Anolis sagrei: one gene and its partner. The protein of the gene in region 1 interacts with the protein of each later gene in a pairwise test. Links are inferred from orthologs where the notes say so. Each region holds a gene or a part of one and is shown on either strand. Other genes may lie near its edges.

Region 1 (7,952 bases):
CAAGGGAGGCTGCTCCGCGTGGTCTACTTGCGCGTAAAGCACCTCGCGAGGTGCTTTACTCGCAACGCAAGTAAGCCGCGCGGGCCTGCTCCTCCCTTGGCAAGCTCACGCTGTCCAAGGGAGGCTGCCCTGGTGCTACATGCAGTCATGCAGGCCACATGACCTTGGAGGTGTCTACGGACAACGCTGGCTCTTAGACTTAGAAATCCAGATGAGCACCACACCCCAGAGTCAGACACGACTGGACTTCATGTCAGAGGAAAACCTTTAACCAGGAAAATCTTGGAAGATCCAGGGTGGGAGAAAGAACTCTTGTCTGTTGGAGGTAGGTATGAATGTTTCAATTGGCCATCTTGATTGCCATTTCATAGCCTGACAGTTTTTAGGGGGAATCCTTTGTTGAGAGGTGATTAGCTGGCCCTGATTGTTTCTTGTCTGGAGTTCCCCTGTGTTTGAGTGTTGTTCTTTATTTACAGTTATAATTTTAGATTTTGTTCAGACTAGAAATAGGAAGATTTCCCATTCTCTGCTCCTGGAATTACTGCCTAAAGAGGTCTAGAAAGAACCCCCTCTAAGAGTCCTTCCACACAGCAAAATAAGATATGTGCAATGTGCATAGGAATTTTTTAATTGATTTAAAAAAAAAACTATAGTCCGGCCCTCCATCAGTCTGAGGGACAGTAAACTGGCCCCCGGTTTAAAAAGTTTGAGGACCCCTGTTTTAGGAAAACGTTGAGAAACCACAAGTTCCTCACCACTGGCAGAGAGTGTGATGGGACACTGAAAGAATGTTGAGGAATAGCTTTTTTACATAGAAATAATTTATTGTATTACAGTTAGGAAATAACTTTTATGCTACCATGAGATACCTTGCATAAACTCTTATCATTCTATGGGCTTTCCCAGGCAAGCCCTACAGCCCAGGATCTGACCCCAGGTGTTCTGCTTTATTTGTTTATTTTATTTTATTTATTTAGACTATTTTTATCCTGCCTTTCCCTACTCAAGGGCCCAGGGTGGCTAATAGCATTTATAAAATACACACAATACAAATATTAAAACAAAACATAATACACAATAAAACTAAATATTTTACAGTGCTGAAAAACATTAAAGCCTGTGTATTAACATAAAACTAAAAATCCTAAAGCAAGGGTTCCTAAAAGTCACCTGAGTGCTATCATCTACTTATGTCAATAAATCCAATCACCTGAAAGCTTTCTTAAAAAGAATGCTTTGAGACTTTTTCTGAACCCAAGCAGTGTATGGGTAGATCTAATCTCCAATGGAAGGGCTTTTCACATTTGTAGCCCAGCCCCGGAGAAGGAGCCTTCCCGGTTGTTGTAGACACCAGGATCTCCTCACTGGATGTAAGCAATCTCCCAGGGATGTAGTGAGGATCACGCTATCTCATGTAGTCAGGACCTGTAGAGCTTTAAAGGTCAAAACCAGCACCTTGAATTGAACCTGGAAACTAATGGATAGCCAGTGAAGCTGTTTAAGCAGTGGAGTAGTGTGATCTCTTACCTCCTCTCCTGTTAACAGTCTGGCTGTCATTGTCTGAAAGAATTGTAGTTTCTGAACTGTCTTCAAGGGCAGCCCCACATAGAGTGTGTTACAGTATTCCAATCAAGATGTCACCAAAGTGTGTACTACAGTGCCCAGGCCTGATTTCTCCAGGAACGAGTGCATTTGGCACACAAGTTTTAAATGTGCAAAGGCTATCTTAGTTATCTCTGCCACCTAGGCTTCTAAATTTAAGGTGTCCAGAATCACACCCATACTATAGACCTAGGTTTTTGGCTTTAAACTGGATTATATGAGTCTGCATCTGGGATAAACAGAAAACTTGGGATCAGATCCTGGGATATAGGGCCTGTCTGGAAGGGCCGTGTGTCTCTATAAATCTGAGGGATGCATTGACAGTGTAGAATCAATGCAGTTTGCCACCACTTTAACTGCCATGGATCAATACCATGGGATTATGAAAATTGTAGTTTGGTGAGGCGTGACAACTCTTTGGCAGCAAAGTCCACTAACCTATATATCCCATAATTCCATAGCACTGAGCCTTGGCAATTAAAGTGCTGTCAAACTGGATTAATTTTGCCACCTAGAACAGTGGTTCTCAACCTTCCTAATGCCACAACCCCTTAATACAGTTCCTCTTGTTGTGGTGACCCCCAACGACAACAAGAGGAACTGTATTCTTATTATTCTTAACTTGCTTTCCATATTAAAATAAAATAAAATGTAACTTGAACTGACATGGGAAAGAACGGAGTCCCTTTTCTGACTAAAGTTCACCACACTAGAAGCCACCATGCCACTTTTAGTATGCAATGCTTCTTGGCATGGAGTTGGACTGGATGGCCTACGAGGTTTCTTCCAACTCTATGATTCTAAGCGATCTTGTACCAGTTTAGAAACTAAAAGGACAAAGTGTTGCCAAAGGCTAAAACGACAACAAATATTTCAGAAGTAAATTCTATTATAAATTAATGGGTTTTAATCCCAAGTAATATGCATATGAATGCAGAATTGTCACAACTAACTGGTCAGTTTCCCAGAGCAGTTTCCCATTCATTGGTTACCTCCCAAAGCAAGTTGTTGAAATGTATTTCATGCAGGGCAGCTTTCAAGAATAATCTCTAGAATAGTGGTTCTCAACCTTCCTAATGCCGCGACCCCTTAATACCCTCATGTTGTGGTGACCCCCAACCTTAAAATTATTTTCATCGCTACTTCATAACTGTGATTTTGCTACTTTTATGAATCATAATATAAATATCTGATATGCAGGATGTATTTTCATTCACTGGACCAAATTTGGCACAAATAACCAATACGCCCGAATTTGAATACTGGTGGGGTTGGACGGATTGATTTTTGTCATTTGAGAGTTGTAGTTGCTGGAATTTATAGTTCACCTACAATCAAAGAGCATTCAGAACCCCATCAATGAGAGAATTGGGCCAAACTTCCCACACAGAACCCCCATGACCAATAGAAAATACTGGGTTTGGTGGGCACTGACCTTGAGTTTTGGAGTTGTAGTTCATAGAATCATAGAGTTGGAAGAGACCTCATAGGCCATCCAGTCCAACCCCCTGCCAAGAAATCACATTCAAAGCACCCCCGACAGATGGCCATCCAGCCTCTGTTTAAAAGCTTCCAAAGAAGGAGCCTCCACCACACTCCGGGGCAGAGATTTCCACTGCTGAACAGCTCTCACAGTCAGGAAGTTCTTCCTCATGTTCAGATGGCATCTCCTTTCTTGTAGTTTGAAGCCATTGTTCCGCGTCCTAGTCTCCAGGGAAGCAGAAAACAAGCTTGCTCCCTCCTCCCTGTGGCTTCCTCTCACGTATTTATACATGGCTATCATGTCTCCTCCTGGCCTTCTCTTTTTCAGGCTAAACATGCCCAGCTCCTTAAGCCGCTCCTCATAGGGCTTGTTCTCCAGACCCTTGATCATTTTAGTCGCCCTCCTCTGGACACATTCTAGCTTGTCAATATCTCTCTTGAATTGTGGTGCCCAGAATTGGACACAATATTCCAGGTGTGGTCTAACCAAGGCAGAATATAGGAGTAGCAAGACTTCCCTGGATCTAGACATTATACTCCACTATACTCATAGAATCATAGAATCAAAGAGTTGGAAGAGACCTCATGGGCCATCCAGTCCAACCCCCTGCCAAGAAGCAGGAATATTGCATTCAAATCACCCCTGACAGATGGCCATCCAGCCTCTGTTTAAAAGCTTCCAAAGAAGGAGCCTCCACCACACTCCAGGGCAGAGAGTTCCACTACTGAACAGCTCTCACCGTCAGGAAGTTCTTCCTCATGTTTAGATGGACTCATCTACACCCAGAGAGCACTGTGGACTCAATCAATGAAGAATCTGGACCAAACTTGGCACGGATATTCAATATGCCCCAATATGAACACTGGTGGAGTTTGGGGGAAATGGTCCTTGACATTTGGGAGTTGTAGTTGCTGGGATTTACAGTTCACCTGCAATCAAAGAGCATTCTGAATCCTATAACAATATAATTGGGCCAAACTTCCCTTGCAGAACCCGTATGACCAACAAAAACATACTGTGTTTTCTGATGGTCTTTGGCGACCCCCCCCCCCCCCCAGGTTGAGAAACACTGGCCTAGAAGCTCCCCAGGTGTATACAGCAAATGTAAGACGAAGGGCGGGCAACTGCTGGCACTCCAGATGTTGTTGGGAATCCAATAACTGCCACACTCGAGATGGGCCTTGCCTGAAACTGAGGCCAAGGGGAAAAGCAGGCCTGGACCCCAAGCGCGCCCCTCAGCCCTCCGGGGAAGGGCCTTTCCCGCCCGGCTGACCTCTTTATCCGCCGCCTTCTCGCCGACGCCCAGCAGAGCGTACAGGTCCAGCTCCAGCAGCTCCTTATCCACCGCCATGCCTTCTCCCTCTAGTACTTCTCCGTCCAAACGGCAACAGTTGACTCTCCTCTTCCCTCCTCCTCTCTCAAACACTCCGGAGCTCGCGACGGCCCCTTTGCGCCTGGGAAACGTAGTCTTTTCCCGACCCTTCGCTATAGAAGGGCGATTGGAATCAAGACTACAATTCCCGTCATGCTTTTCTTCCTGCCCTCGCGGCCCTCCTCCGCCCGCCGTCAAGGGCCTCACGTGACGCTTCGGAAGCGAAGCCTCGGGAGCTCCCGGCGGCCACCGCGCGGGGGTTTCTGGGAAGTGTAGTTCCTCCGACGCCTGTTCCTTCGCGGGGGAGACCACAGGAGGGATGTGAGTGAGTATTGCTCTTACCTGGAGTGGCGGGTTTCACTGAGAGATGCCGAGGGAGGGCAGAAAAGGCACCCAAGTCTAAATTAGGAGAGGCTGCTGCCTTCTGTATCAAGTGGGGAGGACCTGAGTCCCTTTAACCTTAGTGAAACATCATTTCCATCTCCATAACGGTGGGTTTGTATGGAGTCTGGCCTTGGTTTTCCAAGGAGGGCCTCTGCTTCATGCCACTGAAGGAAAACTACAGCAGTTCTATTTTAATGTTTCTATGTTCCGGGTTTTACATTGTAATTTGTACTGCTTTTGGTGTTGGGGGCCTCTTTGAGCCCCCTTTAATAGAAGGAAGTGGGGCATTAATAATAATAATAATAATATGAACCCTTCAATTCTGCCTTCATTTCCAGGGCTGAAAGAGCTGACTCATCTGGCCCACTCCCCCAGTTCAGTAGAGTCTTATTTGAAATGCTTTGGACCATAATATTAATGTTTATTTATTATTGATAATTGATAATATTTCTTTATAATGCTTTGGGTTTTGGATTTTTATTGCATTTTGGAGTAATTACATTTATTATTTATTTGCTATATTTCTATACTGCCATTCTCAGCCCAAGGGCGACTCGTGGCCCACAGCAATACAGAGATAATTAAACATTAAAATCATATAACATAGATAAAACTTCATTACAAATATCATTAATAAAACATAATAAAAACCATAAGTCCTCATTTCATTACCAATCATTATCCAACTGTTCCAAGATCAGAGTTTAACAGCTACACTGTGTTTGGAAAAGCCTGCTCATATAGCCAGGTTTTGACTTTTTTTGCGGAACGTTAAGAGGGTGGGGGCCAGTCTAATGTCCCTGGGGAGGGCATTCCACAACTGAGGGGCCACCGCTGAGAAGGCCCTGTCTCTCGTCCCCGCCAGTCAAGCCTGTGAAGATGGCAGGACCGAGAGCAGGGCCTCTGCAGAAGATCTTAAATTCCTAGAGGGTTCGTAAGGAGAGATACGTTCGGACAGGTAAGCAGGGCCAGAACTGTGCTTACCAATACATAAATATTGTGATTTTTTTTAAAAAAAATGAGACCAGAGTATAAACATGAAATTCATTTATACACATAGCCTGAAGTTAACTTTACACACCATATTTGGAATCATTTTTGTGCATGAAGCAAATGGCACACTTATACTGACCCACTTAATGCAGTCTGAATACAGCTTGACAGAGTGATGTTTACATGACATATTCTTCACAATTAAGAGAAGGGAGAAGCAAAGAAGTCAGGGAATGCTCTAAAAGAGAGCCCTTAATGCACACCAACATGCCTCAGTGTTAATATATCATGTTTATTAATTTATGTTTATTATTTACTTTGGATTGTTGTAGGTTTTTCAGGCTATATGGCCGTGTTCTAGAAACATTATCTTCTGACATTTTGCCTGCGTCCCTGGCATCTTCAGAGGTTGTGAGGATGTTTGCCATAGATGCTGGTGAAATGTCAGGAGAGAATGCTTCTAGAATATGGCCATATAGCCTGAAAAACTTACAACAACCCAGTGATTCCAGCCATGAAAACCTTCGACAATTATTTACTTTGTTTATTATTTATTATTTTATTCAGTTCTTGTGGGTTTTTTCGGGCTATATGGCCATGTTCTAGAGGCATTTCTCCTGACGTTTTGCCTGCATCTATGTCAAGCATCCTCAGAGGACCTCACCTCTGAGGATGCTTGCAATAGATGCAGGTGAAACGTCAGGAGAAATGCCTCTAGAACATGGCCATATAGCCCAAAAAACCCCACAAGAACTGAGTGATTCCAGCCATGAAAGCCTTTGACAATATTATTTTATTATTATTTGTTTATTACTTACTTTCTCACCTTGGGGACTTATGGCATCTAACAACCACACAATCTGGTCACAATTTAAAACAAAGCAAAAACAAACAAAGAATTAAATAATACTGCATGGATTTATGTTTTAAAATGCAGTTAAAATATAATAAATACAATTAAAATTATATCTAAAATTCACAATCCCCCCACAATCCCACCCACAACCTCCTCAGCAGCATGCCCCCCATCCTCTCCCAAAGGCCTACTGGCACAGAAAGGTCTTGACCTACTTGCGAAAGGTAAGCAGGAAAGGGCCATTCTGGTCTCTCTTGAGAGGGAGTCCCACATTTTGGGATCAGCCACCAAAAAGGCCCTCATTTCACATGGCGAGACCGATCAGGGACAAGTGCTCCAGTGAGGTATGTGTGGGGACCCCCCCCCATTCTACCATAGCCATGGAGCCATGGATATTGTGGATACTTGAAGCTGTTCAAGGCAGCGTCTTCTATGCATACAAGTCCCATATAGGCCTCAAACTCATTCCAAGACTATGTCTAACCATGTGGATTCTTGTGGGCACCCATGAGTCTCCGCAGTCCTCTGATTGCTTTGCTGACTAAAATCTTCAAAGGCAGTCTGATTCAGGGACCAAAGGATCCCACTTAGAATCATAGAGTTGTGGGCCATCCAGTCCAACCCCCTGCTAAGAAGCAGAAAAGTCGATTTCAAAGCACCACTGACAGATGGCCATCCAGCCTCTGCTTAAAAGCCTCCAAAGAAGGAGCCTGCACCACCTCTGGGGTAGAGAGTTCCACTGCTAAACAACTCTCACAGTTAAGAAGTTCTTCCTAATGTTCAGGTGGAATCTCCTTTCTTGTAGTTGGAAGCCATTGTTCCATGTCCTAGTGTCCAGGGCAGCAGAAAGCAAGCTTGCTCCCTCCTCCCTATGAATTCCCCTGCTCTGGAATTGATAGACCCCTCACCTGAAATGATATATTTCTCTCATTGCTCCCTGTGAAATCACTGCCTTTTCTCATGTTATCACACAGCTAAGTGGTCAGAGTAGATGGAATCAAAGTTTGTGTATACTGGACCATAGCAAGGCAAAGGTGTCACCTATGTGGGCAATTTTAAATACTAGAACAATTAAGATTTTGGAATTCTGGATAAAGAATACCTGTATCATCATCACCATTTCCATCCCTCCTGCTTTTAGTTTTGCTTAAAAGAGGAAAAAGAAGGGATAACCATGCAGAGAGGGGAGGTTATAGTGGAACAGAATCCACAGAGAAATATCTGTGTCCAGTATGTATGCCTTCAGAAAGAAAAATAAGTTC
Region 2 (8,695 bases), on another chromosome or scaffold:
GTTATGTAGAGGTGCAGTAATATACTGATCTGCAAATATCTGCATATATGTTCCTCCTTTTATTTTTATTTTTTAAATATGGAAGACTATTCCCCCACCCACCCCACCCATGAAAGAAAAGCAGGATAAAATAATAATAATAATAATAATAATAATAATAATAATAATAATAATAAATGTGGCATCCAGTGGCCTTCCATTTCCAAAGGAAACAGAAGGCCAGGAAACATCCCAACTTAAAATCCAATAGTTCAGTCCCATCTTAAAATACAACAGTTCCCATCCCATCTTAAAATACCCAGTTTAGCCGATTCTGTGTGAAGGGAGAGCAGTGGAATCGATTTGTGTCTAACTTCACAAGTCTCCCATTTCTTTACAGTTTAAAAACAAAATCCACTGAAAGCAGTCCTGTGTCACTTCATGGGCTCTGTGGGACTCTTTCTTTAAAAGAAAGAGAAACAATAAGGTGACGCCTACCCCCTCTTGTGGGATGAGGTTATAGTTTGTAATACACACACACACACACACATATATATCTTTATTTTTGTATCTCACCTCCATCTCTCCAAAGGGACTAGGGGTGGCTTACATGGGCTGGTGCAAATCAGTTGTGAGGACAGGGCTGATGGATAAAGTGCAAATTCCAGATGACAAAATTAGGGATAGTAGATCTCTATATCTCTGGGTAGGGAACGACAGGAAAGTGCAAGGGCTAGATTTTGAGTCATAGCTGGAGCCAACATTTTCTGGGAACCATCTAATCAAAAGCATAATGGAACATCCATGTTTTTAGATCTTTGCAAAAGATGGACTAGGTGGGTACCAGACCGTGATGGATCCAGAAAATCGGTACGCCAACTTGAGCTAAGAGGAGAGGTGGGTAACAAATAAAAAATAAACTTATGACATTGTTAATTTAGTAATTCACCTGGTGGAGAAAAGGCCAAACACAGCAACTAATCCAAATAGGCCATCTAGATTTCATGATGAATGTGCTTTGTCAGCAACATTGCACACATTTTTAATAACTGCACTGACTTGCATGATGTTTTTTGGACACAATTCAAATAGTTAAGTGTAGAGCTATGGATGCTTGAATCAGTTCAGATTTTTGCAGTTTATGCATCACACAGCATGACCCACCTTAAAGGATTATGAAAGTGGCAGTTGAATATATTGGTTTGGGTGTCTGTCAAAGGTTCTCTGCTCCTGCTCTGCAATTTGGTAGCACATCTGAACAGCTAACTCTTTTTAATTTGTAATGAAATTGCCTGCAATAAAAAACCCCTTATGCCAAATTAAACTACTCTTGAATATGCAGCAAAAACTTTGGCAGTTTATAATCATGGGCTATGTAGTCTTGTAAGGCATTTGCTCTTTTCTGCCAAAGAGTGCTGGTGTCTCACCAAGCTAGTTAGTCCAGGATTCCAGGATTCCATGTTACTGAGTCACTGTACCTAAAGTGTTGTCAAACTGCACTAATTGCACAGTGTAGATGCACCCTTTGCTAATGGAGTGCAATATTCTTTTGTATTTTGATTCAGTAAACTGTAAACAGTAAACTGCCAACCTAGCAGTTCGAAAACATGCAAATGTGAGTAGATCAATAGGTACCACTCCAGTGGGAAGGTAACAGTGCTCCATGCAGTCATGCTGGCCACATGACCTTAGAGGTGTCTATGGACAACACCGGCTCTTCGGCTTAGAAATGGAGATGAGCACCACACCCCAGAGTCAGACATGACTGGACTTAATGTCAGGGGCCAATCTTTACCTTTTTAAACATAGGGTAAGAAAATGGAATTTGAATTGTGTCCAAAAAAAATCCTGCAGCTATAGTTTTTCAATAAATATCTCATATAATCTAAACCAATTCAACATAGTTTGTGGCAGCCACAAAAAAAAATGAAGTTTCTGGGGTATAACTACTTTCAAAGTTAAGTATTGCACAATTAAATAGGAAACAACACTTTCAAAGAAGAATAACGATACGTTGTATGTTCCAGAGCAGGCAAACCAGACAATCTCCACATCAACACTGGCAAAGAAACAGCAAGAAAATCTGTTTACCCACAAGCATAAACACATGACATTTATTAGAAACACTTTCTCATTAGATCACCAGACTGGACCAACAGAAAACACTAGCAGCGTTTGGTGGGCATTGACCTTGTGTTTGGGAGTTGTAGTTCACCTACATCCAGAGAGCACTGTGGACTCAAGCAATGATGGATCTGGACCAAACTTGGCACAAATATTCCATATGCCCAAATATGAACACAGATAGAGTTTGGGAGAAATAGATCTTGGCATTTGGGAGTTGTAGTTACTGGGATTTATAGTTCACCTACAATCAAAGACCATTCTGAATGAACCCCACGAATGACAGAACTGGGGCAGACTTCCCACACAGAATCCTCATGACCAACAGAAAATACTTAAGGCTATCCAGTCCAACTCCCTTCACCAGGGCAAAAAAAGTAATCAAAGCCCTCCTGACAGAGAGCCATCCCGCGGGGACGAGAGATAGGGCCTTCTCGGTGGTGGCGCCTCGGCTGTGGAACACCCTTCCTGTGGACATCAGGCTAGCTCCCTCCCTGTTGATATTCCGCAGGAAATTAAAGACCTGGCTGTTTAAGAAGGCATTTGAACAAGAAGTGCAATGATTGATAATTTGACCATAGGAATGGAACAACGAAAATATTATCAGATTGTGGGTTTGACGATGAGACGACATGGAATGGCTTTTGTAGTAATGTTGATGTTTTTGATTAGGATGTTTTTGATAATGATGAATTATGGATTATTTTTACACTATGTCTTGTATTTTGCACCTGTTTTTCTATGTTGTACACCGCAATGAGTCGCCCCTGGGCTGAGAATTGCGGTATATAAGCGCAGTAAATAAATAAATATTTATTTATTTATTTATTAACTTTATTTGTACCCCGCTACCGTCTCCCCAAGGGACTCGGTGCGGCTTACATGAGGCCGAGCCCAAACACAACAACAAAAGCAATAAAACATCAATACAAGCAATTAAAAAACATAGACAAAAGTACACAACATTATCAAAAAAGCAACACATAATTAAAAACAGTGGGAAGGCCCAATGTAGAGTTAAAATTGGGCCATGAAACGAAAGGTGATACTGGTGTTTGTGGAGGGCATACAAGCAGACTCAGGGAAATGTAAAGTGCTTTGAAGGACAGAGTGCTATGGGATCATCATTCCGGGAAGGCACACTGGAACAGTCACGTCTTCAAGCTCCTCCTGAAGACTGCCAGAGTTGGAGCCTGTCTGATATCTTTAGGGAGTGAGTTCCAGAGTCGAGGGGCCACCACTGAAAAGGCCCTCTCCCTCATCCCCACCAAACGCACCTGCGATGCTGGTGGGATCGAGAGCAGGGCCTCTCCAGAAGATTGAAGGGATCGTGTGGGTTCGTATACAGAGATGCGATCACGTAGGTAGGCAGGTCTCAAACCGTTCAGGGCTTTGTAGGTAAGAACTTGAACCTTGAATTGGGTCTGGTAGATGAATGGCAGCCAGTGGAGCTCCTTGAACAGGCGGAGCCCCAGTTAACAACCTGGCTGTTGCCCGTTGGATCATCTGAAATTTCCGGGCTGTTTTCAAGGGCAGCCCCACGTAGAGTGCATTGCAGTAATCCAGTCTAGAGGTGACTAAGGCATGGACCACCTTGGCCAGATCCGCCTTCCCGAGGTATGGTCGCAGTTGACGCACAAGTTTTAGTTGTGCAAAGGCCCTCCCGGCCACCACTGACGCCTGAGCCTCATATATAGATATATATGATTCACACACACACAGATAAAGTATTATAGATTTGAAAGAGACCCCTTTAAAAGGACAATTGTATGTTGCATGTTCCAGAGTAGGAAAACCAGACAATCTCCACATCAACACTGACAAAGAAATAGCAAGAAATACTAGGTTCTTGTGGGTTTTTTCGGGCTATAGGGCCATGTTCTAGAGGCATTTCTCCTGACGTTTTGCCTGCACCTATGGGTCACACCGTCTACAGAAAACCCAAACACACAGATAGATATCTACATAAAAACTCCAGCCATCACCCAAGTCAAAAAAGAAGCACCATTAAAGACTTGGCAGACTTGGCAGACTTGGTGAAAAAAGAATATGCGAACCCCACCTCCTCCAAGATGAACTGAACCACCTAAGCTGGGCTTACAGGCCAACGGATACTCCACCTAAGATATCAGAAGAGCTGCAAGACCGAGAACAAGCCACGAGAATAAAGACGAAGATCCACCCAGAGGAAAAGTGTTCCTGTCATACATCAAGAGAACCACTGACCGCATAGGGAAGCTGATGAGGAAACACAACATACAAACAATCTACAAACCCATCAAGAAAATCCAACAAATGCTACGTTCAGCAAAGGACAAGAAGGATCCTCTCACCTCTGCAGGAGTCTACTGTATACCATGCAGCTGTGGACAAGTCTACATAGGGACCACCAAACGCAGCACCCAGACACGCATCAAGGAACATGAAAGGCACTGCAGACTACTTCAACCAGAGAAGTCAGCCATAGCAGAGCACCTGATGAACCAGCCTGGACACAGCATATTATTTGAGAACACAGAAATGCTGGACCACTCCAACAACCACCATGTCAGACTACACAGAGAAGCCATTGAAATCCACAAGCATGTGGACAATTTCAACAGAAAGGAGGAGACCGTGAAAATGAACAAAATCTGGCTACCAGTATTAAAAAAACTCTAAAATTACAACAGCAAAACAGCAGAGAGGAAACAACCAGGCACATCTTAACACCTCTCAACAAAAGATTTTCCCAGGCTCAGCCAGGCCTTCAAATGCTAATGAAGGTGGTCAGTTGAAACATTCACACCTAGCTCCAGCAGAGAAGAGCTCTTTGCCCCACCCCAGCCATTCCACAGATATATAAACCCATTGTCCTAATTCCAACAGACCTCACTACCTCTGAGGATGCTTGCCATAGATGCAGGCGAAACGTCAGAAGAAATGCCTCTAGAACATGGCCCTATAGCCCGGAAAAACCCACAAGAACCTAGTGATTCCAGCCATGAAAGCCTTCGACAATAGCAAGAAATACTGTTTACCCACAAGCATAAAGACATCAATTAGAAATCAGCACTTTCTAATTACTTTATTTTCCATATCACCAGACTGGGCCACAGCAACGCGTGGCAGGGGACCGCTAGTGGTAATAAGATAATTAAGGCGGAGGAGAGGATGTCAATATGGGCTCAGCTACACCTGCGTCCCTTCCGGTCACGCGCAGGCAAAACGTCACGGCTCCCAAAAAAAAACAGCTGAACAGGATGGAGCAAACCGGGAAGCCCTTTGCGCATGCGCTGTTGCGGCCTCGCGGCTCCTTCTCACCTGCGCATGCGTCACCGCCCTCTCACTTCCTTCCCAGTCTCCCTCCGCTTCTTCCTCCTTCCCAACTCCAGGGCCGGGTGCGGCCGTGACGTCACGGGAGCTGAGCGGAAGCGGAAGAGCAGCGTGGTTTCCCTTTTCGCCCGGCGGTGGGACTGGGTCGCGGAAGTAGCCGAGGACTCGGGATTTTTTTAGTGTTTCTTCTTGCCTTTCTCAGCGGAGGGCCTGAATATATATACATATTTCTTTGGAGCGGACTCTTAGGAGGCTTCCTTTCCTCTTCGGCTCTTCGCCGCCCTCCCTGACAGCTCCGCCCATCATGGCGGCCACGTCCAACTTGCAGGTGAGCATTTCCCCGTCGAAACCCAGGTCGCGCCTGGGAGAGGCCTGGTCACGGTGTGGCTGCGAGTTGGAGCAGAGGAGAGGCCTAGCTTGAGGGCAAGCCCAGCTCGAAGCTTATTTCATCCTGAACTTAAGCCCCTTCCACACAGCTGAATAAAACCCCTGCTTTGAACTGGGATATATGGCAGTGTGGACTCAGACAACCCACTTCAAAGCAGATATTGTGGGACTTTCTGCCTTGATATTCTGAGTAATATGGCTGTGTGCCTTGATTATCAAACTCCTGCCGCCTTATGTAATCACAAAGATGCCGCTAACTAGGCAATCCTCCTCCAAACGGGTCAGACTACATCTCTCACCCCATTAACCGGTTGTTCCCAAACTCTGCCCCTGTAAATGTTTTGAACTTCAACTCCCAGAATCCCTGACCTTTGGCCAAAGTGACCGAGGGCCCTTCCAGACAGGCCTTTTATCCCAGGATATTTATTGATCGTGTCAGGAGCGAACCAAACAGTTGTATTGCATTAAAAACAAGCAAACAAAACACAAAATTTGTACCTCACTACCTCTGAGGATGCTTGCCAAAGTGCAGGCGAAACATCAGGAGAGAATGCCTCTAGACCATGGCCATACAGCCCGAAAAAACCTACAACAACCCAGTGATTCCAGCCATGAAAGCCTTCGACAATACAACTTGGTAGTTGATTAAATGTCCTTTGACCAGTAGCTGGCCACTTGGAGTGCCTCTGGTTTTGCTATAAGAAGGTCTTCCATTGTGCATGTAGCAGGGCTCAGGTTGCATTGTAGTAAATGGTCTGTGGTTTGCTCTTCTTCACACTCGCATGTCGTGGATTCCACTTTGTAGCCCCATTTTTTAAGGTTGGCTCTTTTAAGCACGGTCTTTTAAGCACCTTCCAAGTCGCCCAGTTTTCTGTGTGCTCAGGACGGAGTCTCTCATTTGGTATCAGCCATTGATTGAGGTACTGGGTTTTAGCCTGCCACTTTTGGACTCTTGCTTGCTGAGGTGTTCCAGCAAGTGTCTCTGTAGATCTTAGAAAACTATTTCTTGATTTAAGTCATTGCCGTGCTAGCTGATACCCAAACGGGGATAGGGGGTGGGCCGGAGGTGTCACTGACTTGGTCCTTTTACTATTGGCTGCTACTTCCCAGCAGATGTCAGTTGGTGCAATACCGGCTAAACAGTGTAATTTCTCCAGTGGTGTAGGGCGCAGACACGCCATGATAATGCAGCATGATCATAGGTTTTCTGTTGATCCCAGATTATCTGGTAGTGCGGACTCATATCATCCAGTTTAAAGCAGAAAATCTGGGATCAGCTCCAGGATTAAAGGGCCCTGAGGCTGCCCAGAGTTGAAGTGCAAAAGTGGAGGGCCAACGTTAGGGAGTCAGTGTCTAAGGGCCCTTCTACATTGCCATATCATCATCATCAAACTTTATTTGTATCCCGTCCCATCTTCCCATGCAGACTCAGGATGTCTCGCAACATGGATAGCAACCATTTGATGCCACACGATACATAATAAATCAAAAATATAATAATAATGATATGGCTGCTGTGAGTTTTCCGGGATGTAAGGCCATGTTGCAGAAGCATTCCCTCCTGACGTTTCACCCACATCTATAACCGGCATCCTCAGAGGTGCAGGGGTCTGTTGGAAACTTAGCAAGTGGGGTTTATATATCTGTGGAATGTCCAGAGTGAGAGAAAGAAACTCTTGTCTGTTGGAGGCAGGTGTGGTTGTTGCAGTTGGCCACCTTGATTAGCATGAAATGTAAATAAAGAGCAACACTAAAAAAGGGAATTCCAGACAGGAAACAATCAGGGCCAGCTAACACCTCCCAACAAAGGATTCCAGCAGGCAGGAAACAACCAGGCTTTAAAGCTGCAAGGTTTTTCAATGCCAATCAAGCTGTCCATTGCAACATTCACACTTGCCTTAAACAGACAAGAATTCTTTCTCCCACCCTGGACATGCCAGGTTTCCAACATACCTTACAACCTCTGAGGATGCCTGCCATAGATATGAGTGAAACATCAGGAGAGAATGCTTCTGGAACATGACCATACAGCCTGAAAAATTGACAGCAACCCATCATCAAACTTTATTTGCATTCCATCCCATCTCCTCATGGGGGCTCACAACATGATGGCAACCATTAAATTCCACACAATACATAATAAATAAAAATGCAATAATAATAAGAATAGGAATACTTTATTTATAATCCACCCTATCTCCCCAAGGGGACTCGGGGCGGCTTCCGACATGATAACAGGTCCCAATGCCTATATAAACAAAAGTAAAAATTAAACAAAATACAATACAATACACAGTGGATTAAAATAAACTAACAAATAATATAAACAATCATAACTCAACATAGAAGACAAATCACAACAACACAAATCACAGACACAATAAATAGCAAGGTTTAAAGCCAGAATGGTAGATTTAATAAACCATATCCATTGTTAAAAGTCCTATCCCTAGGCCATTCCTTGCCAGATATTAAACATTGGATTCTTCATTAGCCTGGGAACATAGATTAGGTTTTAGTTGCTTTCTGAAAGAGAGGATTGTGGGGGCCATTCTAATCTCCTTCAGGAGAAAGTTCCAGAGAATATCAAGGCAGAAAATCCCACAATATCTTATACGAACTAGGTTATTTGAGTCCACACTCAGATAATGTAGGGTTTTCTGCCTTGATATTCTGAGATAAAGGGCTGTGTGGAAGGGCCCAGAGTCCACACTGCCATATAATCCAGGACATAGAAAATAATCTGGATTTTATGCAGCTTTGTAGAAGGGGCCTAAGAATACAACTACAGACTAGAATTAATGCCATGACACTGTTTTCACTGCCATGGCTCAGTGCTGTGGAATCGTGAGAGTTCTCATTTCACAAGGCTGTTAGCCCTCTCTACCAA

The links.
Region 2: the proteins of ZFYVE19 (region 1) and VPS4B interact in binary tests that used the Homo sapiens proteins (3 or more experiments, as listed by UniProt). The two-hybrid records come from large-scale screens. The link is inferred for Anolis sagrei from reciprocal best matches to the Homo sapiens genes ZFYVE19 and VPS4B.

Annotation. Positions count from the first base shown.
Region 1 is NC_090021.1:289,480,784-289,488,735, reverse strand, and holds the start of ZFYVE19 (abscission/NoCut checkpoint regulator), read left to right. Parts: upstream 1-4,668; 5' UTR 4,669-4,782; intron 4,783-7,952. Other genes in the region: DNAJC17 (dnaJ homolog subfamily C member 17), read right to left, coding at 4,359-4,436. UniProt on the Homo sapiens protein: Key regulator of abscission step in cytokinesis: part of the cytokinesis checkpoint, a process required to delay abscission to prevent both premature resolution of intercellular chromosome bridges and accumulation of DNA damage.
Region 2 is NC_090024.1:89,438,315-89,447,009, forward strand, and holds the start of VPS4B (vacuolar protein sorting-associated protein 4B), read left to right. Parts: upstream 1-5,453; 5' UTR 5,454-5,722; coding exon 5,723-5,746; intron 5,747-8,695.